4 linked regions of the Drosophila melanogaster genome follow. The protein of the gene in region 4 interacts with the protein of the main gene of each other region in a pairwise test. Each region holds a gene or a part of one and is shown on either strand. Other genes may lie near its edges. The genes, in order: Rich, shtd, CG3368 and CG5359.

Region 1 (7,547 bases), on a different chromosome or scaffold from region 4:
CGGTAACTTGGAGGAAAACTTCAAAAGCGCAGCACAACACGGACACAAACTCGACTGGGAGGGACAGCACTTCGGCGTTGGCACCATCCTAACTACCACCTGCATTACCAAATCAAGCAGGGCACGTAATGAATCAGTCACAGCGATTAACTTTTACAGCAGCAGCGGGCGAACAAATTACAACCGACGTTGTCGCAGAGTCAACCTGCCGCCAGGTCACAATAGTCGCAGAGGGTGAATGGCATGGCCTTTGATCCCTAGAAAATCAAGGAAACTTGAAAATACGAACTATTTCCGGTTTCCTGCACCAGCTGACAGATGCCAATGTAGATATTGAATGAATTAATGTTGGCCTATCACAAAGCCGTACGAAAGAATTTGGCAATTGATTTTCACTTCTTGTTCTCTTTCGAATAAAAACAATTTCCTTCTATTTTTTATTTTATTCGTAGTGGTTTTCAGGTTCATCGCAGTAAAATTAATCAGTTCGAATTGACACCTGAACGAGCTGCTTAAGAATACAAGGGTGGTAATTGTTAAATGGTTTCATTTATTAGTAAAAATATAATTGTATTTGATTTGTATATTTAAGTATATTGTTTGTATAATTTTAATTAACAAATATTGCAGCAAATTTCATCTACTAAATTATGGATTACGTTGCGTATGCTTCATACGGTTTTACGGTTTGTTTTGTTTAGCCGGCGACGCTTCGTTGTCTGCGTGTGAGTTTCCATCCGGTTGTTTCTCTAACCCTGTGTGAGTGTGTACGCCGGCTTACAATTAACAAAAAATTTTAACAACGAGCTACAGCAACAAAACGCTTCACCCCACGGACCTACAAAAAAAGTACGTATCTGCGTCTTTGCGCTGAGTATGTGGAGTACGGATTACGCCTCTCGCATTACGGATTACGGCTAACGGCTTACATGAGGCGACAGCCCTCCCGCTCGCGGCTGTTCTGCCGTGACAGTTGGCGCTGGGTGGGCGTTGAATGGGCAGAGGAACCGCTGGCCACCACTGCGTTCCCGTTAGACTCTAGACTGGCGTGCCGCGTGAGCCGCTGGTGATTCGGGTTAAGGTCCGCCACAGTCCATTGGTTTCCGTTAGCCTGCTGGGAATTTGGAACAAATTCGCCCACTTCGTTCTGCAGTCCCTGGAGTCCCGTGCTGACGTCCACGCCCTGCTCGGTACCCGGGCCGGCATCTTGGAGCTGCGAACAGGGAGCATCCCCCAGAGACTGTATGTACTGTTCTAGCAGGTAAACATGCGGTTGCAAGGTGAGGACGAACCCCCGGTACAAAGATCCGCTGTGTTCAAAGGTGCTCTGACTTAACTGTTTGAGTGCAGATTCCGTACGTCGACAGGTGTGAACCGATTCGCTTCGGATTATTCCGTTTACAATCCGCGAGATGGAAGCCGCGTCCTGGAGCAAAATGGAAAGAACCAGCGCGTAGTCCGTGCAGTTCGCCTCGATAAACAGCTGTAACAAGTAACGCAGCTTAATGGACAGCTTCTGAGGCAGAATATCCACGGCTAGGTCGTCCTCTGATGTCGGTAGCGAGTACAGCCGGCGGTAGCGAAAGTTATCGAACGACAGTTGCGATCCAGACCGCGTCTTAAGTATTGGTAGGGAGCTAGGCTGCTGCAGTTCTTCCTCCTCTTCCCTAATGCTTGGCTGCAGCTGTGGCGACTGTGTTGCGGCTCCATTGGGCGTGGCCAAGCTAAAATAGCCAGACTCTGACGTTTGCGAAGATCCACCGCCTCCTGTCTGTCGAAGACTGCCGCGTATCTGAGCAAAGTCGTCCTTTGCCGCAGTCGGAAATGGAATGGGGAGATCTAGTTCTTCGTGTAGCGCCTGCAGAGCGCCGGCGAAATCATCCAACTTGGCTGCCCGCTCTGATTCCTGCGAAAGCCAGCTGACAAGGTGAAAGTCCAGATAAGCACACATGTAGCCTAAATCCATTAGTTTGTGGTTCTGAAGTAGTTGTCGAGCATGGCGCTGCAGTATCAGATCGATGCAGAACGTCTCTCGCTGCTTAGTCGACCGCCGGCGCACCACCGAGGGTGCTCCTGCACTGCTGCTTTCGGTCACAGGTGCAACCCCAGGAGTCCCAGATGCCTGCTTATCTTTGGGCAGATTGCTAGTCACCGTGGTGGAGAAGCTTCTCTCTCTGGCAATGGGACCCAGAACCATGTTAAAGGCATCCGCATTCTGGTTCACTTGCTGCTGTGTATTCACCTGGGGAGGAGGAGCAATTTTCACATTCACCACCATCGACGACCGCGGTGAGTCGATCTCATTTGGATCTATAGCCTTTAAAAACCGGATCAAGTCCTTAGCCAGCTCCCACTTTCGCTGCTGTAGAGCAATGTCCAGCAGCATGGTGGCATATTGCTTGCTAACAACAGAGGGTTCTAGATTCTGCAGGATTATCAAGTAGCTCGCAGCCGTGTCCAGCTGCTCCGACTGCAGACACATCTGGAATAAATCCTTCGGTTTACCAGCCATCGAAAATAGGTACGGCCACAGGGCGATCTCTGTTTTGCGGGCACATTGAACAATTGTTTCCAAGTAGACGGGAAACTCTCTTATAAAGTCCAGAATACTGGGCAGCTGTGCATCCGGGATGGGCTGTTTGCTAGTAGCCTCTTCCTCGAGAACCTCGTGTAGAAGCAGTTCCAGAGCGTGCGGAAAATATGGTAGCGAGCAACACGACTGTGCCATTTCCCAGGCAGAGTAGCCCAAATTCCGCTTGATCAGTTGGCGAAGTACCTTGTGCAGATAGATCTGCGACTTGCGTTCCATAACGGCGAACGGCAGAGAGAAGTGGGAGACCTGCTCATTGGCGTAAAGCGTGCTTTCGTTCTCCACCCCCAGAACGATCACATTGTCAAAGAGCACGACGAGCGGATAAAGTTTCAGCGGAAAGCTCAGCATGATTCGCTTTGACATAAAACTGTGCAGACGTTGGGCGCCGCCCTGCTCGCCTTCGCGACGCTCCCTTCCCGGCGGCAGTATTGGAAGCCATACGCGCATTCCGTGGGCACCGGAGTAAAGCCAAAGGCAGTCACGCATCGCACAGCGTTCCAGGGAGTGTGACAGCCAGAAGACCTCAACGCAGCTAGCCAGGCAGGTGGCCAGCAAGGTGTTTGGGACCTATTTGGTAAACATAGATTTTGACTTTAGTTGCTATATGATATATCGTAATAATTGTCCGCGAAGTTGAAAAGATGCATACTCAAATTCCTTGTTATGGTTGGCTCGATAACCAAAGACATTTCCAAATAGAAGACATGCTGACGTTCGCTTTACTTTGAGATAACGGTAAATTCACATATGAAATGTATAAATGATTTGCATCTCTCCAACTTTAAGCATTTCGACAATTAATATTTTTCAAACATACCTGTTCGCCGGCATCGCGCTGTATCATCAATATGCGGCCGCATACATTCACGATGATAGTCTCTGCCTGATCTCCACCCAGCTGTCCCTGGGGCTTTAGCTCATTCTTGAGGTTAGTCACAGTCAGACTAACAATGCAGGCAGGATGGATGCAAATGCTCTTCACGTCCAATTCATAGGCGCATTCAATATCCAGGGCGTACGCTGAGTTTTTCGACATATTGAACAGGCTCACTATTCCATCGGCAGTGAGTACAATCAACTGGTGTCGGAATGAGTTCAGGCTAATAACTGGTGCTCGGACCTGCAGCTTGTGCCCGTATTGGTTGTCGAGTTTGCAATCTGCCGGATAGCAACGCAACTCATCCGTGCGGTCTAGAAGCGAATAGCAGCCCATGACTACAAAGCCATGCCACCACAGTAGGCCGCCAGAGACAACGAAGTCCTTCTCCTGCGACTCATTGCCAAAAAGCTTCCAGCGCCGGGTCACTAGGGAGTAGTGCGCCAGTCCAGTGCGACCAGCCACCGCCAAGTGGAGTCCATCGGGATCGATAGCAGCATATCGGATTGGCCAGTTTGTGGCCGCGTAGTTGAGCGGCAGCTGCAACACTGTCCAATACTTACTCTCCGTAAGAATGCTGCCTGTGTGCGGGCTTTGTTTTAACTCCAGACAGTCGCCATCACCGGAAATGTCTTCGTCAGAGCCCAGGCCGCTTGATGGAAACGTTCCATGGCTTCCGGCATACGTTAGCTCCAGATTATTGCCCTGGTTAAGGTACAGGCAGTCGTCACCCTGCAGCAGGATGTGCGGACTAGTCGTCATGCAGGGATTCATACTCAGAGCGCTCTTCACAAACTGCAGCTGAAGCACATTACTTTTGTCTTTTTCCGGATGCAGTTTTAGCATAAAAAGCTGATAACCCTCGGTTGACCATTCGAGCCGACGGATCTTGAGTGGATTTTGACAAACCAAATCTACGTTAAGGCCGAAATCCCAGCTCAGAGTAGACATTAACAATGCTCCGAATGTGCTCCATAGGGACAAGCCTCCATTTGTCCAACTCACAGCAAGGACGCAGCCGTCAGGGCTCCACTTTAGCTCGTTTACTGAACCCAGGCTGTCTGGGAGTATGTTTTCCGTGAGGATAAGTCGATGAGAAAACTCTAGTCCCCCGGTGGCATCATCAATTGCGTACACCTTCACCGCCGAGCTCTCTTGACCATATGCCAACAGTCGAAATTTGTGATTGACACTGCAGACACTCGCATCCTCAACATCCGGCACCCAGAAGCCGTGCATGTGATCGGTCTCAAATCTTAGATGGTTGGCAATCAGGAAGGCGGCTCGTCGGTCACTGAAGACGGCTGCACAGCCACCGATGAACGGCGAGTATTCCAGAGAAGCTACGTACGAGTCCCTGTTCAAGGGCGGCACATTGCGCGCGGACTGCTGAGGCTGCTGCTGGACGTAGAAGGGAATGTCGCGCAGCTTAATTGAAGATAGGGCTGGCAACTCTAGGTCGTTCTCTGCGTGCTCCAGTTCGGTCCACTGCAGACGCAGCAGTTCGCAGGACTGGGTGGCCAAGAGTAATTCGCTGAGGCTAATGCAGCACACAGTGGTGATGACGGAGCCCAAGGTGACGCTACACAGTTCGCGAAGGCTCAGCCGGGGTATGTTTTCCTTGATAAACAGCTCGGCGGAGTCGCGTTTGAGGCTCGCGGCGGGCGGATCTATCTGCTGCAGGATTCCCATGCCGTTGGCTTCGAAGTCCAGTTGGTACAACAACAGGGAGCCGGACGCGGTAAGCAGGGCAAGCTGCCGAGAGTCCGGCTTCCACACGATCAGCTGGTTGGCCCCGTACTGGCGAAGGGAGTCCTCCGTCCGCCGGAAATAAGCAATGGGAATGAGTGGATTCGCGTACCAGATGCCCAGAAAGTCGTCGCCCACGGCGGCCACAAGTATTTTCACCGCGTCGCAGCAGATGTGCCGGATGCTGGCGCTCTCGCCGGGCAGCGCCAGGCCCACCCGCTTGGGCCAGCCCACTGGATAGTACATCCTCCGTGTGAAAAGTTACTGCGCAAACGGAAAAGTTCATTAGCAAGAGCGGGAGTGCGGAAAAACGAATTCAACCTGCGGTCTGGTGCGGGTGCATTTAGCTTATGTGGGTTACGCCCAGTTTTACATGATCTGCCCCGATCAATTAGCACTTTTAGACAACATTCCACAGCACAACAAAAAATCTGAGCGATTTTACGCGTATACAAATATGAGTGTTGGCCAGCGTTCCAAAATCACAGCTGTTTGCCAATCGCCGTTTCGCACCACTGATTTTAAGAAGGCAACAGTGATGTCAGGCTAGCTTTTCTGCACCCATCAGCTGTTTCTTAAAAAATCGACAAGTGAATGCATTTTGGGTTACTTCTATTTTCGGCTATACGAGCCTTCTTATCGTTTTAAATTCATCTTTTAAACAATAATTAAATAAATACATTATGATTAGATCACGAACTAAATGTTCTACCCTTCATAGTTTTATCTCATAAAGTCAAGTAACATTGGCATTTATCCTATTCCAGTATAGTCAAGTAAAGTTACCAACAACTAATGAGTGTTGTTAAAAAGGAATTCCCGAAGATATTTTTTATGTTCAAACCCTTCATTCAAAATAAAGTTATTAAATACTTCAATTCATTGACCTGCGCAAGCTTACAACACTAAAAAGTTCCCGAATTTCGAGTCCGCGATCTAGTTCACCAACAACCACTGTCAATTCGAACTAATTCAACGCATCTCGAACTAAATAAATCAACCGGCTTTCGAGAGGCAGAACAAAAAGGAGATTTGTGAAGTATTCTCAAAATGACTGCATTCGAAGGTAAGTGAAAATTAATATTTAAGGTGTGCATTGCTTATTTGACTTGCCTCGCAGAGTTTGGCGTGCTTCCGGAGCTGGGAATGGCCACAGACGAATTGGACTGGACGTAAGAAAAAACAGTTCTGTCTGCCTATTGCCTTCACATTTATGAATTTTCAGCCTGCCCACCGATGTCCAGGCTGAGGCCATTCCTCTGATCCTGGGTGGCGGCGATGTACTGATGGCCGCCGAAACTGGTTCCGGAAAAACGGGTGCCTTCTGCCTCCCCATTCTGCAAATCGTGTGGGAGACCTTGCGTGATCTGGAGGAGGGGAAGGCTGGCAAGGGCGGTGCAATTGGAGGAGCTGTGACTCCGTGGACCATGTCCTTCTTCGACCGAGGAAACGCGCTTGCCGTCACTCCTGATGGTCTGCGTTGCCAGTCGCGGGAGTTCAAGGAGTGGCACGGGTGTCGGGCCACCACTGGCGTTCGCGGAAAGGGCAAGTTCTACTTTGAGGCCACGGTAACGGACGAGGGACTGTGTCGTGTGGGCTGGTCTACACAGCAGGCAAACCTCGATTTGGGCACCTGTCGCATGGGCTTTGGATTCGGCGGCACCGGCAAGAAGTCCAACAACCGCCAGTTTGATGACTACGGTGAGGCATTCGGCAAGGCAGATGTCATCGGCTGCCTGCTCGATTTGAAAAACCAGGAAGTGAGCTTCACCAAGAATGGCCAGAACCTGGGCGTAGCCTTCCGCCTGCCGGACAACCTTGCCAAGGAGACCTTTTACCCGGCGGTGGTGCTGAAGAACGCCGAAATGCAGTTTAACTTTGGAAAGACTGACTTCAAGTATGCCCCGGGTAACGGGTTCGTTGGCGCTTGCCAGGCTGGACCCGAGCATAGCAAGGCCAATCCGATAACCGGTCCCGCAGCTGGAGCACCGTCCGCCAAACCGGCGCCTAACGCCCCTCAGGCCATTATCATGGAGCCCAGCAGAGAATTGGCCGAGCAAACCTACAACCAGATCGAGAAGTTTAAATACCACCTGAGCAACCCAGAGGTTCGCTCCCTGCTGCTTATCGGTGGAGTGAGGTTGGAAGAGCAAAAGGCGCAGCTGATGCAGGGCACTCACATAGTGGTGGGCACGCCCGGGCGGCTGGAGGAGATGATCAACAGTGGACTGGTCCTGCTCACCCATTGCCGCTTTTTTGTTCTGGATGAGGCTGACGCACTTCTGAAGCAGGGTTACACCGAGCTGATTGACCGTCTACACAAACAAA
Region 2 (7,569 bases), on a different chromosome or scaffold from region 4:
AATAGCAGCATCACCTGGTGCCGCTTCATCAGCTCCGGGGGACTCAAATCCGTGCCTTTGGTGTCCAGGCAGCGACTGAGGAACTGCTTCACCATACGTTCGCTGGCAAACTGCTGCAGGTCGTTCATATCGATCTGCCAACAGATGCTCTGTTCCATCGTCAATGTTTGGGCCAGCATGCTCTTCAGCCTGTCCGGGTCCTCCAAGTGGGAAAGGCAGCCCGTTCGCTTCTTAATATCAATCGGTGCACTCATCTCCAGCGCCTTTTCCAGCTGATCCCAGTTGCGCGATCGCTCGAAGCACACTGGCCAATAGTTCTCGTCGTCCACCACCACCTGCTGCAGGGTGCTCAGCACTGGCAGGATGCAGGGAGCGATGGGCAGGCGGCGCAGCTCGGTGGCACCCACCTCCAACACGGATATGTTGGCCAGGCACAGCTTATTGGTGTCAATGTCCCGGGGAAGGAACAGGCGCGGTTCCACAGCCAGTACATAGAGATGTCTCAGCGCTTGCAGATGGTATCTTAAAATGTAAATCCATGCGGTGAAGTGTGCTAACACATTGCTGCAAATATATTAATCCTTACCGATTGTCGTTGCTGTGTATGGGAAACTTGGGGAAGAAGGCGCAGACCAGTGCAGCAATCGACTCCGGTGTCTGGGAAATGGTGAAGCGACCCGCGCCGAGGAATAGCAGGCCAAGCGACATGTGTATGGCCATGTGAGAGCCGTAGGTTATGTGCGGATATTGTGGTCCCACTCGCGACCTGAGAAACCGAATTATGCGAAGAATTTCGCAGTTGCCGGAGCCGGCGAACACCAACGAGATCGAGATGAGCAGCACCATCAGGCAGCTCTCCACAGTGGTGCGACCGGCACATTCGCCCATCGGCCTGCTGGGGAAGCGAAGGAAATCCTTTATCACCGACCGCAGCGTGGCAAAGGCCACCAGATTCTCAGTGCCGGCGTACTTGAGACCAATGCAGAAGGCAGCTCCAGCCATGATATTGCAATAGGCTTGCCTGGACAAGAGTATATAATTCGTATCTAATTACTTTGACATTCAACTTCAGTTACTCACGAGATGGCCTCGTAGTCCACGTCATAGTCCTCGGGTGCATACTCATTTTCGTAGAACGGGAGTTTTAGGTGAGCTCGGAGTGCTCGCGGAAACTGTGCCTGGAACCACGCGTTGTCCGGCCGGACATCCTGCCATAGGATGAGGCCCCGGGAAATTGTGCGCAGCAGAAGGAAGTCAGGCCGCACCATGTCCAGTAGATACCGCGAATCCGGCGGCTGCATCCATTCGGCAATAGCTGCGTTCCCCGAGTTGAAGAACATAAGTCCCAATGCGAGCGTTGCACCCGGAGCAGTGACATCTATGTTGACGGTATCGCCTTCACGAACTTGGAACGAGGCTAGTCGGTATTTCTCCTTCTGGGAACCGCCGATGGGTCTCTTCACTCCACCGACCATGTAGTAGTGCAGGGTATCCGGCAGTTGGAGGTCCCTTAGGCCCGCCGGCGATTCACCCTGACCGAGGGTAACCAATCCGAGGGATAGACCTGCTGTCATGGCATACGATTCGCGCTCAATGCTGTTCTCCATCTCAGGGCCTGGAGGACGGCCAATCTCCTGGAGCAGCACCTCGGCTATGTGGCGCTTAGCTGATCCTTGATAGAGCAAACCGACGCCCATTATAGCAGCCACCTGTGTGCTTTGCGGTATATCCAACTCCATGGCGGTGGCTGGCAGCAGTGCCTCCAAGTGAACGCTCAACAACTTTGTGGTTTTCGTATCCATGGTGCCGCGATGGGCAGCGGAAATGCCCAGCAGCAGACCAACGTTGGTCATCTCATCGCATTTAACCAAATACTTATAGACACTCATGAAGGACAGCGTCTTTAGGTGACCATTCAAGCCCAGGGCCATGAGGAAACCAGCGTGCTCCAGGGCATTATGCGAATGCGTTTTGGGCTTGTTGTAGACAATCCAATTGGAGTCTATGTCCTGAGCCTGGGGTGAGATCTTCAGGCCAGTGGCCACGCCATTGTGAAACGATGGCCACATTTGCATATTCGCTGGGAATTCGATCTGCTGCATTTCGATGGTGGTGCCCTTCAGCGGCTCCTTGCCCAACAGGCACAATTTGGGCATGGTCAAGCTTTCGCTGGGCCGCGGCAACATCGTTCTCAGGGTGAACATACCTCTGCCCACGGGCAGTGTCATTGTGCGCGAACATAGTGCAAACAGTTGCTTCTCCTGCTCCTCAATGAATTCGTGATCGCTGGTTCCCGGTGCCTGTTGCACTTCAATGACCACCGGTTCCGAGCTGTTAAGCAGACGGCGCACTTCATCCACCCGCATGTCATCGGGAAAACGCAGACGCAGTAGTTTTGTGTCCATGTTGTCCATGTCGTCGCGGCGCAATTGGGCCGGTGAATCAGTTTCTGATCCCCCGGTCGGCGGACACCTCGCTGACAGTGAATCTTCCTTGTAGACCCGGCCACAATGCGGTTGCCCAGTGCTCGTTTCGAGGAACGGCAGTTGAGCGTGGGCCGCCAATTCTGGACGCAGGATAAGTTCATAGGTGGCCATGCTGCAGCCCATGGGCGGCGAGAGGCGAGCCTCCTCCAGTGCCTCCGCTACAATCAGATGCACTGCCGCCGGGAATCTTTCAATGTCTCGCCGTGTCAAGCGCATGGCCAGAAGTAGCTGTAACATCTGATGGCTACGCGGAGCATCCGCCGTGATATTACGCTTAGAGCGCCGCGTAAAGTTGGCCTGAACGGCGCCGGGGATCTCAAGCAGCTGCCACCAGTAATTCAGACGCTCATGCCCATGAGTCACCAGCGATACGAGCTGCAGTAAAATGCGACTTCTCTCGTTAACGCACTCCAAGAAGGTGTAAGGCATCACCTCCTCCTCGCCGACAATAATGTGCTCGAGTTGGGCAAACACACTGGGTGCCGGAACCCTCAGAAGCTCCTGGTGCAGCATCATAGCTCCGTGCTCAGCTCCCAGCAACGAGAGCTTGCCCGTACGATTCGAGAGTTCCGGAAAGTCTAGTATGTAGTGCAGCACATAACTTTCCAGCTGCATATCGATGGCCAGCTGGTGTAGGAACTGGAACGAGGAGATGGTGTTAGAAAACCACTAATGGATCTATTAAATGATTCACCTACCGTTGCCAGATATGGAAGCGCTCCATAAAAGTCAGCGTCCAGTTTGAGATCCTCGTACAGTAAATGCAGGCTGAAGAAGATGGCGGGAATCATTCGGAAGAGCAGCGCACCGATGTTCACGCTGTAGCTGTGGCCATCGGCTCCGCAGGGAGCCAGTGTCGTCTGGAGCAGCAGGAACTCCCAGTCGTCGTCCGTGAAATCATCGCAATCATTGTATATTCGCCGTTTCTTCGGCTCATCCTGGCCACCCAGTGTAGAATTGGAACTGCAACTAGAACCGTCACTCGATTCCGTCGCAGTAGCGCCGCCTCCAAATTGAGTGTGCAGCGGTGGCGTGGCACATCTAGCGTAGTTCTCGCCCGCATCCACATCCGGTGCAGCAGTCAGACCCATTAGGGCGAGCAGTGTGGAGCGGAATAGCAGCCATTCCTGCTCTATGGAGTAATTCCTCGATCCCGGCGGATTCCTGTCGCTATACCAACGGATAACAAAGTCCAGGAACTGGGTCGGACTTAGAACCTGCCGTAGCGTAGCCACACATCTGGTGAGCAATCGTGTATCATTTAGAAATGGCAGCGCTATTCTGAGCATTCTGCCCGTGGCATAAACCAAAGTCAATCGATTTCCCGCCGGATCTCTCAGGGATTTGCAGACATTGTGCGCCTGCCGCTGTGTGTAGGACACCGGCTGCGGTTGGATGGGCGACAGCATGTGCAGCTCCTCTTCGAAGGCAGCCACATCCCCCGGCGCTTTTGTGGGCAGTAGGCTGCTCCTTCGCACCTCCACGAAAGAACTGCTGCCGGACGGAATGCCGCTTGCTGGTCCAGCAGCTGCCATTGGTGTTTTAACGTGAGACGGAGCGGGCGAAGCCGACGGAGATGGGGCAGCAGTCATGGGCGTTACCAGCGGTGTGGGAATGGAGGTAGGCGCCAAAAACGGCGTAATGTGCACCTTGGATATGAGCACGGTGCCTGTGTATAGAAGTAAGCTGCCACTCGGATCGAGAACGGCAATCATGTGCATTCTCTTCAGACCCACTGCATCTTTCGCGGCCAGCGTGGAGGCGTGCGTGGAGAGCTGCACCTCGCCCCTTCCATAGCCAGTGAGGCGGACCAACTGAAGGCGGCACGAGCGGGCCAGCAGGTAGCACAAAAAGGTCTGACCCACTAAATCCGTGTGGATAAATGCTCGGGTGGCCATCTCGCAGAACTCTCGTTGACTAAGGAAGACAGACAATTTTAGTACTGAAAGTGGCATCTTTGGTGGCATTTACTGACGTTCCGTAGATGTTCTCCGTCCAGATGTGCTCCATACACAATTCCGGCTCAATGGGTTTTGCCGGCTTCACGTGCGTTAACTTGCGCATATCCTTCACGGACATGGACTGCTGGCTAATACTGCTCTGCAGTTGGCTCAATGGAGTGCCTAGGGAGGCGCGACTAAACGGAAGAAGAGGCAATAATAAGTAAGTGATGGATGACAGCGACTTAAACGTACTTCGACTGTCCAAGAACTCCGCTGAACGACTGCGACTGGCTGAGTCCGAACTGGTTGCCCATGCCGGTGGTGGTGGTGTTGATATTCCTGGCCGCAAACGATAAGTTCGTTGCTTTTGGCGTGGCTAGCAATGGATAGACAGTGAATAAATCGTATGCCCTTGCTGGCATTGCTATCAACTCACCTCCAGTTTGCTTGGTGGAACTGAAACTATTGCCTGCCATCGACCTGGGTCCCATTAGCGTCTGTCCCAGCTCCATCTGCTGACTCACATAGTTGATCTCTTCGGGCGTTACCTTACGCAGGCGTGCAACGAAATGCTTAAAGAACTTGGCATCGTACAGCATCACCAAATCCGATTCCTCGGTGGTGAAGACCACAGTGTATTCCGGTTCGGTCATGTAGCCGGTGGAGCCGGTGGCCGTCTTCAGGACGACGGGACAGGCCTCGTGCAGCGGATGCGACATAGAGAAGAGACGCGGCATCGGAATGGACATGTGCGATATCAAGGCATTGCTGGAGTCCTTTTCCAGCAGCAGGCCATACTTGGTTTGCCACAGCTGTGACACGGGAAAGTCCAGATTGGCTAGAAAGTCCTCGCCGTTGCTGCAGTACACCCGCAGGGCGTCCTGATCCATCACACAGATGGCGGTCAAATGGTCGTCATCCGGGTGGACAGCCGCCTTCAGCTGCGCCAGTCGCCCGCGCACAAAACTGCGATTCAGGAAGCAGGCGAAGCGCACCGGCGTATCGGTGGTGAAACACATGCGCCGGTACACCCCATTGTCGGTATCGTCGTCATCGTTGACGCCTTGTGTCCACACCACCGTGTTCCGGTTCACATAGAGCTCCTCCTCGTTGTTAACCATATAGTCGCACATTGGCTCCACGCGCCGCACCAGCGGTGGATTGAGCAGTCTGTTCGGCAGCGAGGTGGCCTGGAGACCACATCGCTTTGTCCGCTCGGTCAACTTGCGTCGCAGGGCGGCGCGCTCCTCGGATGCCTCGTAGTCATCGTACAGCTCTCGGACTGTCCACGACTCCTGTCCGCCCGAAGGGCAGTCCTCACCGGCCGACGAGATGTTCACATTCTGGAGGCGCTGCAGCAGCAGATGCTCCGTGGTGGGCAGTTGGTGGCGCGCCATTGGCTGGTCATGTGGGCCCGGATGCTCCGCGGACGTCTGACGGCCGCGCGGCACAAACTCCAGCGGCGGTTCTGCGACGGCGATCATGTCCGCGTCGCCAGGTGCATCCAGAATTGCGATTGACAAGTTAATTGATTACAATTTATTATTAGCAAGGAATTTGCACAATTATTTAAAAACTGTCATCGAAATCGGGTGGCGATAAGTGCCTGATTCTATCGGGCCTGCAGTACTTCGATATGAGGAGAGCTATCAAAAGGCCGATAACGATAGGAAGACCAGAATCGCGACAAACAAAACAATTACCAGTATATGCCATAAAGTCATACCGAAAGAAATGCTAGAGAAATGGCTTTGCCTATTTTTAAAAATATAAAATATAACAGTTCGATTGCTTTTACTATCGATTACAATGCCGGTTGGTCACTTGTAGCAACCAGCTTTGGTCCGCTGGCGTACCGGTTATTTTCCCGGTCTGGCAGCACAGTGCGTTTGTTCGGCTTTTCCAATTGGATTTCGGAGTCTGGATTTTGATTTGAGCAGACAAACGGAACCGGAAATCCTGGCCAGAATTTGGCAATGAGCAGCGGCACCGCCGGCTGCAAGCGCGCGCACAGCATCGAGGTTGAGCAGCCGCTGACGTCGGAGCGCCTGGAGCACAGCCTGCTGTTGGTCAAGGGACGCCTGGTGCCCAAGTGTTCCACGGCGCGTCAACTGAAGGCGATCCTCGATCTGCCCGAGCACCTGTCCCAGGAGCAGCTCACCCAGCTGTCGGCCGGCGGCGAGTTTAAGCTCCTATTCGACTTGGAACAAGCGAATCGCGAGGAGGAGGAGGAGGAGAGCGCCTGCCTCCTGGAGTTGCGATCCTGCACGGCCACCCGAACGATTAGCTTCAGTTACCGGCCCCGCCGCAGCTCCTACCGGGTGCAGCCGCTCTACCTGCTCTGTCAGGACGAGGAGAAGACGCTGGCGCAGCAGCACGAGGTGCACTCCCTCATCGATCTTAATTTGCGGCTGGTGCAGTCCATCTACGCGCACAAACTGCACGCGGCGGGCTTTCCCAACCGCACCTTCACGCTCAACGGCAAGTGCTGCGCCTTCCGCAGCCAGTTGACCCGGAAACAGGCGCTGGCGAAGAGCGAGGACGAGCTGTGGCAGCATTTCGCCGGCGAGATTATCGCCTGTCCGCAGTGGGGCCACCAGTTGCTCCTCAAGTTCGTCGCCTTTGTGGGCTGCACGCGCTACGACGGCGACGCAGTGGTGGCCAGCGGTGACTCCTCGTACGCCAACATCCGGCGGCATCTCAAGGGACACGCAGCACTCGGTGGCGGCGGCTTGGCGCTCTTTGGTAGTGCCCACTTCTACGCGTGGCCCACGAGCTTCGCGGAGATCGGCGACTGTGTGCGCAGCGCCCAGCGGGTGGACATCGCCCGCCTGCCGGACGAGAGCAACTATCGGCGGACGTACGGCGGCGTCTATGCCAGCACCTTGGGCGCCGTGTGCCACGAACTGGGCCACTGCTTCGATCTGGGCCACACCAGCGAGGGTGTGATGGGCCAGGGCTTCGACTACTTGAATCGCGTGTTGACCGTGGACCAGCCCACGGAGCATTTGCCGCAGCGAATTGTGGACGCCCGCAGGGGCTCACTTGCCAATACTAATTCATCCGAGGGCGGATCATCCTCATCCAGCTCCACCTCCTCCTCCTCCTCGTCCGCCGGCAGTGGCGCCGCAACGGGCAAC
Region 3 (6,201 bases), about 17 Mb from region 4:
CCATCGAATACATTGGCTACCTTAACCAGCAGAAACTCAAGCAGGAGGACGAGGGATCGGCGCTACAAAAGGAGGTAACAGCGTTACGGATCATTAAGAACGGCTATGAGAACATGCTACAGCATCAGCAGGCGAATCCAGGGCCGGAGGAGGCACGACTCACCGATGAGGCCAAGTTTCAAGTGGTAAGTATGGAGCGCTTACCTCTATTATAACCTCTAGAATCGCCACCCACCACCCTCCTCCGTAGTTCCAGGCCATTATGGAGGAAATGTTCGAGACATTTCAACACATACCCATGGAGAACTTTAAGCAGCTGACCACCGGCATTATCCCCTGGCTGGAGGAGCACTGCAAGCCGCACATCCTGCGCAACATACTCAGTCGTACCTTGCAGCAAATGGCGCAGGAGGCTATGGAAAAACAGGAACTTCAGGCCATGGAGCAGGAGTCGAGCGAGGGTTTCAGCTGATCGCGCGGTTAGTTCATATTCTCATTGGTTATTTTAGAAATCCCTGTTTGGTAGATACTTTCGTTACGTTTACTGCGTACAAACATTAAATGCGTCATTTGAATAGTTGTAAAAGCGTTGACAAGGAAAGATAACTTTTTGGCTTAATGATTAAAGATTAGATAAAACTAGATTTGCTAATGCTAGCCGAGAGACTCGACGAGAGCCGCTTTATCCGCACTACCCAGCTGGCCTAGCAGTTCCAGCAGCACATTCCGTGTGTACGGCTTGAAGCGACGAACTCGCTCAGTGACATCCAGCGCGGTGAGCAGCGCTTCAAGGAATCCCTCCAGACGTCCCGCGCTCCACACATGACGTGCTTCGTGCTTTAGTTTCAGCACGCCCGATGTCAGCGTGTAAATCAGTCCCTCGTAGAAGTTCTCCTCCTCCAGATTCGCGGCCAACTTGGCGCTGGCCAGCAGCGCCGCCGGCAGATCGCAGCGGAATTCGTGCGACCGCACAAAGCAGGTGGCCGCCAGTTGGCGGACCTGATCACATTTGTGCCGCAACAAATGCCAACTGAGTCGGCGGAAGCGAATGAGCAGGGGATTTGGCTCTTTCCCGCCCGACGTACGCAAGTGCTCGACCTTGGACAAGAAGGCCAGAAAGAGTATGATGGATGACGTGACCTCCTGGCGATCACAGCACCTCAGCATGTGCTCGCAAGCCTTGGGCAGCAAGCAGCCCAATTCGTCGTAGTCCAGCTCACTGGGTTCCCAGGCGGGTCGTGTGTCAAACTCTGTAGCTTGGCGCTGGCCGACCAGCTTGCCCAGATTGGCGCCAAAGAGTTGAAGTGCCGCATTCGAAATGGTCCATTCGGGGTTGGTGATGTGCTCCATGGCCACCAGCAGAATCTCATTGTAGTACTTGCTCATAGCTGGCCTCAGTTCTGTGTCGCGCACAAGAACGCAAAGGTAATGCAGTACCAATGCCTCCCAGCGATCGTGATTGCTATCGAGACAAACAGTCTCCGCGGTTTGGTTTTCATTTAGCCTCTTAAGAATCTGCTGCACAGCGCGATGGAGCAGCAGCCGCTGTCGTGGATTATCGTTCTTCAGCACGTGAAGGAACATTATGGCGAAGCCGGCACCACGTCGTGTGGTGCTCACTTGACGGCTTTCAGTCAGCAGCTCTCGCTCTAGGCAGTCGTGAAGCATTTGGAATCCCGAATCGCAGCTGTCTAAGCTACTGGTGATGGCACGGGTAAGTCTGCCAATGCTCAAGCCGGCCGCCTCTATGGCTCCTTTGTGCCGGCAAAGCGTCAAAACGGAAACATTAATATTGAGGCAACGACGCAGAGTCTCGGTGTTAACTGTTTTGGCAGACGTTTGCAATTGGTAACACCCAATGCTGGTGGCCAGATCGCAACAGCCCTGCAGAAGGATAAACAAATGATAAGTTTATCAAGAGTTAAGAAATATATCTACGCACCTTCAACGTTAACCAGAAGCTCATCAGTAAGTACTTTCGACAAGCCTCTTCCTCCCCATCACACTTGAAGGAGCTTTCGCTGACCAGCAGCTGGAGACTCTCGTCCATGTCCTGGAAACTGGCTGCTGTGGCTGCCTCTTCCTGTCGCCGGGCGTTGGCCACATTGAGGAACTTGAGAATGCCGCTGAGAATTCTCTCTAGCAATGGCAACAAATCCTCCAGAGGCGTCTCCACTGCCAAGCCAGCCTTGACCACCTCGTCCAAGGCGCAAAGATAGCCAAAGAGATGTCCTCCGCTCTTGGCGGTCTGCAAAGGATCTTCGAAGAAGGGATCTAATTTACCGGTAAGCCTTTTCAGGCACTCATCAAATATCTTTGATCCAGCTTGCTCTTTTGTAACCGCCAACTGTGCGTAGAGGGAAACCAAGGAGCATTGGTCCATATCAGACGTGTGGCACAGTTCGAAGCACCGCTCCACGCACTTTTCACTGTCCACATGGCCCATCTGAATCAACAGGGAGACCGTTAGGTCCAAAGCATCATCGAAACCTTGTGGATTGTTGAGGGTTTCGAAGAGCTGTTGCGCCATTTCCTTTGGACGAAAGACTCCGTGCTCCAGGAGAAATATGCCCATGCGCTGATTCTGCTGAGGACTGCACATTTTTGCATTTTTTGCGACTTCTTCTGCATATAGCGACCTATTTAGGATTTCCAGCAACTTCAGGGCAAAGATCTTGGGTTGATAAACCTCGCTGTGGATGTCCCGCTCAATCAGATGCTGAAGATGTGAAAAGAATCGCTTGATATTCTGAGCCAATGCATGGCCACCCACTCCGATGTCCGCCTTTAGAACCTTTTGAAAGTGCTTGGCCGTGTGATTGATAATCGTTGGCATCTTGCCCAGCATCGTGTTCCGGAACTCTGAGCTTTCCAGACAGCGATGTCGCTCTACAAAGCTGTGAAAGAAATCCAGACAGTCTTCGACGGCAAAGTTTCCCAGATTGTCAACCAGAAAGCGAAAGATCAACAGCTGCGCCTCCGTCTCCATCTGGCTGCAGTTGGTCAACAGCTCGGTGCTGATCTTAAAGAAGTGCAGCTTGGAGGTAGCATATATCTCCCTGGCGAACATGCTGAAGATCAGAATCAGACGTAATTGATCGCTCGGCGACCTTTCCTCCTCGGTGGCCAGGAACTCCACAATCTGAGGATTTGCTTGCAGCAGCTCAAACAACTCTTCCCGCTGTTGGATGCGCAGGAACCACTGCGAATGAAAGTTCTGAATCTCGGCCACACTGCCGTTAAGCAACAGCTCCACACTGGCTGCAAGTAGTGCCGGAGAGCGCTGGTTGCTCAAGCTTTTCACGGGATATTGACTGGCGGCCCGAAGTCCCTTATAGCTCAGGCTGAGCCTTAGGCCATTGAAGAACTCCTCTTCGCTTTGATTCGTTGCCGCCAAGAGATCAGGCAGGGAATGAGAGTTGAGAGCGCCGCTCAGCAGATAGTACTTGTTGCGATTCGTCCATGGCCAGAACTCCACAATCAAGCGAAAGTAGGAGAATGCTCTTTCCGGCTGTTTGCAGCAGTGGTTGTACAGCGTGAGCGTTTCCTCACGGGATCCCGTTTGCGTCTGGCGTTGCAGGCAGTGATAGAAGTGCTCCAACTTCAGCGGAAGGAGTTGCAGCTTGGGGAACTTCTTTACCAGCAAGTTTGTGGCCTTCAGCACGGCCATCAGGCTGGGATTGTTGCGCTGCAGAGCCTCAATTATGGCAGTGGTGCATTTTTCCTCCAGCAGCGCAGCATCGAGACGCTTCCAATGGTCGGTGAGCAGAATGGATTGGAGCATCAGGAAGGCAGTGGGTTGCTCGCTGGTCAAACGCTGGAAAAGATCCGCGAAGTGCGAGTCTTGTAGTTCGTACTTGTGCACTATGTGGTAGTACACACGGAAGCTAATGTTCAGGGCGGCTTGATTGGCACCACTGCACGTGTCCGCCTGCGCCGCCTCATCCTCCTCCGTCTGTATTCGTTGGGCCAGCTGCAGTGCGGCATCCTCCGGGCGGACATCTCCCAGGCCCTAGAAAGAACACAATATGTTACACCTCAGTCCCCGTGCCGTACTCAATTCACCTGCAGGTAGCAGAGGCAATCGCTGGGTCCGATTTTTGGCCGTTTTCCCGGAGATTCCGACATGCCCAATCTCAATTCTCACAACTTTCGTCTTACCACAACCAGGGCTCCACAAAACCGGCCACTGCGCTACGATAATTGCGCGGTAATCGATAATCGATGGCTTTTCGTTATCTAAAAACTTGAAACGCCCAACCGTTGTTGATTAAAAATTATGTTTCCAATTAATGTGACATATAATTTTTATATTTATCATTTATAGCGGTACCAAGTACTTCGTTTAGAGACTCAGTGTTTAAAATTTTCGTTATATTTTGTGAGGGATGGCTGTCTGGTAATGTTAACTAGGTACAGGGTACTGTATTCTGTTTTCTTTTACAGCGTTTTTAAATATTAAAAAGATGATAAATTTTTTTTTTTTTTAATAAACTTTATTAACAACAATCTTTGAATATAAAGCTTTCACAAAGCAGCTGTTTGATACAACCGATAAAATTAATTCGATAGCAGAAATTGCAGATCCGTAAGTTCAAAAGTTTTCTTGACAACCACAGCGCGTACAGGAAACGAGAAAAATATAATATTTTAAAGGTATTTCATGCAATCGATATAACAAACCGAAGACCAAATTGGCTCTTTGTTTTTTCAAGTGAGTGCTCCCTACAAAGTTCGTTATGATAAGAAAATGCATGTGTTTGTGCTCTTGGATTCAATGCTTGCAAGGTTTGCCTCGCGTTTTGTTTATTTATTTGCATACATGAAATTCAGATAAACGTGTGGATTTTCCTAGAACTGGTGCCATGCGTAATTAATGCAAATGCTTTCCGCATTTCCCAGCGTCGTGCTGCTCATCCACAGAGAATAGCTGCAGCCGATTTCAAGTTTCCTGTTCTGGCATCGCTCCCAGTTCGAAAACTCCAGCTTCCCCGCAACCCATCTTTTCGGTCCGCCCAATACTTGTAAATCTAGTTTCGACTGACTTCAGCACATGGCTTTCAGATGCGATACGAGATACAACCTATTCGCATTCTCGGCATCTGCCACCCCGAAAATTTCAAGGAAGCTCGGCTGAATGCGAATTTTTTGAACCAGTATTCAGCAGGTCGCCTATGTACTCGGTGTACATGGAGTTCTTATGCCGCAAAGGGGTAGTTTCTCACCTGTAAGAGGATTCACGAAAACCTTGTTTACCACACAGCTTGGCAGAAGCTCGATTTCCTACTGAGAATCCAATTTACAGTAGTCTCCCGTCGACAAGAACCTGAAATCGAATACCCAAAGGCCTAAGGTAATTCGATATCTTTGCTATTACACAAAAAGCAAGTTATTACAGTCGAGTGCGATTATCTGCGTTCACTTTGCTCTGACTACAGTGCGCACCAAAAGTAATCTCCCACAAGAACTTTGAAATGCTATAGTTAAATCCGTTAAGCCGTGAGTTTCGCTTTATTTTTAAATACTATTGCTCAGTTTCTAAGCTCAGTTATCCAACGGGCTTAAATCTCCAAAGTTTCAAACCTTTGAGCTAACACTCTTAACTTAATCTGCAATATTGAATTTAAAGATTATAGATAGTCTGAAACTTTCCGTTAGAGTCTTCTTCACTTCACGGAGAATGGCAGACGAGCGGAAAACAAAACTTGAAAAATCATTATACTCGATTTCAACATGTGTATACTACATTAAAACTGTAGCTTTTTGCAGTTTTTATTTGCTGTGTGTGTGTGTGTGTGTGTGTGTACGCGCGCGAACCCATAAATTTATATATTCCCCGAAATAACCCCGTTCTTAAAAAAAGAGCGGAATAAAAACGTAAATGGCAGCGAAAGAAGAAAAGGCGAAATAAAAAATAATAGGCAACTGTCTCTCCGGCAATCTCTCGCAATCTCAAAAACAACTAGCGACCATAACCATTATTTGTACCTTCCGAATACGAATACGAATACAAGTACGAACACGAATATATAACGTCGTAGCGCACACGCACACCAGCACAGGTGGCCGTTTATATAGTTGGGTTTTTGTAGGCCCGTTCGTCGCTTTTTCGAGTTTTAAAAATTAGTATTGAAATCGTCGTTAACGGCGACGGTTTGCCTCAGTTTTGACGCTTGAAAACGGTCGTATTTTCCACTCTCT
Region 4 (3,923 bases):
ATTGCGAATCGCTCAAGAGATTCAGCGGGAACAGGAGGAGATCGAGGTGCAACTGAAGGATCTGGAGGCACGCGGCGTGCTTATTGAGAAGGCCTTGCGAGGCGAGGCGCAGAATATTGAAAAGTGAGTGCTAGGATCTGGCTATATCCTTGAATACCCATTAAATGAAATCTCTTCTACAGCCTGGATGCGACAAAGGACAACGACGAGAAGCTACTTAAGGAACTTTTGGAGATTTGGCGCAACATCACAGCACTCAAGTATGCTAATCAATGAAGCTCTATAATAAACAAATCTAATGTAATTTTGTTTTTAGGAAACGCGATGAGGAACTGACTATAAGGCAACAGGAACTGCAACTGGAGTATCGGCATGCCCAGCTGAAGGAAGAGCTCAATCTGCGCTTGTCCTGCAACAGTGAGTGTTATAGTTTCCTCTCAAAACTTTGATATAATATTTAATTCCATCATTGCAGAACTGGACAAAAGCTCTGCCGATGTGGCCGCCGAGGGAGCAATTCTCAACGAGATGCTGGAAATTGTCGCCAAGCGAGCCGCCCTACGACCCACAGCCTCCCAGCTCGACCTCACGGCAGCGGGATCAGCATCCACGTCCGCCGAGGCAACGGGCATTAAGCTGACGGGACAACCGCATGACCACGAAGAATCGATCGTGAGTAAATAGGACCTATATGTTTAAATTTGAAATTGACAACACCACTTGTTTCAGATTTGAATAGCCAACTTTCCCTGGAGATTGCTGGTCTGCGAAGTGGTGCATGGACTGTTGAGCCTAAATACTTAAGATGAAACAAGGGAACAGGGGAGAGCGTACCAAAAAGGCAGCTGAATATACAGAATTAACAATACTAAAACCCGTGAGCTGTAACCGAAACGAGCAACTAACTATTCAAAGTGGATAAGCTGGCTAAGAACAATTTCAATATTTATATAAGTAGAGAGCCTAACTAATATGGGAGAAGCGCGCAAGGTTAATGTAAAAACAGGCAGAGATGAAATCAAAACCAAAAAACTAATTTCGCAATTTAAAAGTAGGGATTACGAATGTTTTTGCGAATACCTTTAGTTTCGTATTCGACCTAATTGTACGTTTTGTTAGTCGTTGCCACTGAAATCTGTCTGATTTTTGTATGTCCTATGCAATATGTTGTGTTTTTATTTAATGTAATGTAGTGAGCGTGTGCAAAGGGTATGTGATTTTGAGCAAATGTAAATGGTGTATTTGAGTTTTCTTAGGTTATTTTCACTTAGCGATTGTTTGTCGATTTCTATGTAAACCGTTTGAGTGTATTATTATTTATTTGACAAAGCACCTTCCGCACATCCTCCCGATCAGCACACCCATGTATGTATTATGTCATTTGCCCCCAATCGAAATCAAAGTGAACACAAAGAGATGCACACAAATATTTTCTAAATGCGAGAGCCTACACATAGCGATGTAAGCGAGAAAGCAACCATTAACTGTATACTAACGAAATCATTTAAATTATTGCGTAACTTTATTTATAACCTGCATATATAAAAACATATTTATCGAATTTATTATGTAACTTTTCGATTTATTTTGAATTGAATAAAGATTTTATGAAACCTAAGGACGATTTTATAGTTCTACTTTATCGTGAAGTTTTCCTTAAATGTCCTTAAAGAAATGTTCTTTAATGGGGAAATTCCGCCATCGACGCTAACTTGACGCACATAAAATATTGGCGCGTATTATAAATTTAAATTATCCAGAAAATGAAAGAGGTGCCACACTTCGTTGTTATAAAGTGGCCACACCAAATAAGTTCGGTTATTCGTGGTGACTGACAATTAGGGATTGGCGGGAAAGCCATTTTACCATCTGGTAACACTAGCAATAAGTAAACAAACATAGCAACCAAGATTTTCTTGGTGCTTTCTTAAACACTTTGAAAGGGAATTACGCTGAATTTGACAAAAGATGGCTGACAAACAGTCCACTGAGGAAACAACCAAATCCGTCCAGACTTTAACAGTGCCCAACCCAGCGGATAGGAAGTCGGAAAAGTCGGCGTCAGGAAGTCTGCACTCCGGCTCAGCCGATGGTTTGGAAAATCAAGAAAAGTCGGAAAAGCCCGGCGACCAGCCCACCGCCTATAGCATGCGACCGGCCTTTGGGGAGATGTTTCCCCTGCCCACCATCAAGAGCATAATGAACAACGTTATGGCCGAGAAACTCAAAGGTTAGTGTGAAAATCCATAAATATACTGCGCGTTGCCTAGCAACTTCACTATTTGAAGACAAAACCTATGACAAGGACGTCGCCAAGAAGTGGACCAGTGAGATCGCCGACGAGGTGAACCAGCAGATAGCCAGCAGCTCCCTGGTGAAGCGGTACAAGCACGTGGTCCAGGTGATGCTAGGCCAGGAGCTGGGTGCGGGGGCCACTTACAACTCGCGCTGCTGCTGGGATTGCGACTGCGACACTTCCGTCTCCGAGGTCTTCAGCAACACCAGTCTCTTTTGCGTCTGTACAGTGTTTGGAACGTATCAGTACTAAAACCGATTTCCCACAGAACTAGTTAGACTAAGGATTATACTTTAATGGGGTGAGCTTACATTAAATGGGTTGTCACGAGATGTGTTTTCTAAAAATATTATATAGATAAAATATTCAACAAATGTTGTTTAATTTAATGATAATTTTAAGTATGAAGTTTCTTTACTTCCATTCAAATTTCATCTGCCCAGAGTCTCGTGACACCCCCGTATATTTACATTTTAATCTAAGCAATGCTAACATCTCGTATTAGTAGGCACCGGGAACAAAGGGTTCATCACTTTCGATAGTCGACCTTCGTCGTGCTTCATTGGATGCGTACGTTCAGCGGATTCAGTATGCGGCCCGACATCACAGCCACGTCCAAGTCGCGATCGACGATGAAAAACAGAAACGGATGATTCACAGAGATCTGAATGGGCTTCGATTGGGCGCCGTAGTTGCCTAGAGAGTAAAAGGAAGTGTTTATTGCACTTTGTCTCGTGTTGCAGAGGCTGCAACTGTTGCAACACCATTAGGTTGGGCATTCGCAATGCGTTGCGGCTCAATGCCTCCACTCCATTCCATTCAGGTGTGCTGCAATGCGAGACACTTACGCTTCAGCTGATTGATGGGATGCGTACGGATGGTGACGTCTATGGATTGCTCAATGTGTCGCACGTAGACGCCCTTCTCCTCAGTCATGGGCCTGAAATCGGCGCGATTTGGTTCGAATACGTCGCAGCTGCAACGAAAGTAAAATGAAGCCAGGAACTGGAGCTATTACACCCATGCTTACATTCCCATCTGCAACAGAGAGCACAAAAACCAAAGACACCTCAATAAAAACACAAAAATGCACTCTACAAATGAATACATACATTCTGCAAGTCGTTTGTCAAAAACATGGTGCCGTGCAGCTTGAAATCTGGAATGATGGCTTGCACCCAGCGTGGCTTCAACTGCTTCCGCATCAGTCGAAGGGTTGGTCCCAGTTTCAAGGAGGCGGCGGCTGCAACAATATCCGTGTGGTAGTCGGGCAACAGGATCATTAGGTTGTACTCCGGTGTGTCCAATTCCAACTCCAGCACGCTCATCTTCAGGTGCTCAAAGTACTTGTAGTACAGCACTGCGTTATATACCTTGAAGGTGGTGTGCACCACCTGTTGATTGCCCAAGTAGAATACGTGGCTGATCACATCCGTGTTATAGTTGGACTTTCCCTCGGCCGCCTCTCCGATATAGTGTGGCTCAAAATCATTCGTGATGGGTGCAAAGGCAGCGGGCACTGGCGGCGGAAAGTGCAGCGGGTGGTGCGGGACATGCGTGTGCGGATTGAAGAGGGTCAGAAAGAGATTTGCATCCAGATCCTTGTATGCTGGTATCGCATGACGCT

Evidence for each region.
Region 1: the proteins of CG5359 (region 4) and Rich interact in a two-hybrid assay, tested with the Drosophila melanogaster proteins (one large-scale study listed by BioGRID).
Region 2: the proteins of CG5359 (region 4) and shtd interact in a two-hybrid assay, tested with the Drosophila melanogaster proteins (one large-scale study listed by BioGRID).
Region 3: the proteins of CG5359 (region 4) and CG3368 interact in a two-hybrid assay, tested with the Drosophila melanogaster proteins (one large-scale study listed by BioGRID).

The regions. Positions count from the first base shown.
Region 1 is NT_037436.4:22,257,214-22,264,760, forward strand, and holds Rich (RIC1 homolog), read right to left. Parts: upstream 5,709-7,547; 5' UTR 5,541-5,708; intron 5,484-5,540; 5' UTR 5,466-5,483; coding exon 3,411-5,465; intron 3,161-3,410; coding exon 926-3,160; 3' UTR 536-925; downstream 1-535. Other genes in the region: Ddx1 (Dead-box-1), read left to right, coding at 6,270-6,285, 6,340-6,391, 6,445-7,547.
Region 2 is NC_004354.4:15,456,423-15,463,991, forward strand, and holds the start of shtd (shattered), read right to left. Parts: upstream 6,020-7,569; 5' UTR 5,914-6,019; coding exon 4,866-5,913; intron 4,806-4,865; coding exon 4,682-4,805; intron 4,624-4,681; coding exon 4,462-4,623; intron 4,404-4,461; coding exon 3,185-4,403; intron 3,126-3,184; coding exon 1,081-3,125; intron 1,022-1,080; coding exon 587-1,021; intron 523-586; coding exon 1-522. Other genes in the region: CG6294 (uncharacterized protein), read left to right, coding at 6,406-7,569.
Region 3 is NT_033777.3:27,281,769-27,287,969, reverse strand, and holds CG3368 (uncharacterized protein), read right to left. Parts: upstream 4,191-6,201; 5' UTR 4,129-4,190; coding exon 4,066-4,128; intron 4,013-4,065; coding exon 1,943-4,012; intron 1,885-1,942; coding exon 655-1,884; 3' UTR 522-654; downstream 1-521. Other genes in the region: bigmax, read left to right, coding at 1-185, 251-472.
Region 4 is NT_033777.3:9,999,247-10,003,169, reverse strand, and holds CG5359 (uncharacterized protein), read left to right. Parts: upstream 1-1,893; 5' UTR 1,894-1,968; coding exon 1,969-2,230; intron 2,231-2,288; coding exon 2,289-2,548; 3' UTR 2,549-2,597; exon of another isoform or gene 2,598-2,664; intron 2,665-2,801; 3' UTR 2,802-2,855; coding exon of another isoform or gene 2,856-2,992; 3' UTR 2,993-3,144; coding exon of another isoform or gene 3,145-3,272; 3' UTR 3,273-3,326; coding exon of another isoform or gene 3,327-3,334; 3' UTR 3,335-3,399; downstream 3,400-3,923. Other genes in the region: Mical (molecule interacting with CasL), read left to right, coding at 1-123, 183-260, 317-417, 476-672, 730-735; Spn85F (serpin 85F), read right to left, coding at 2,856-2,992, 3,145-3,272, 3,327-3,334, 3,409-3,923.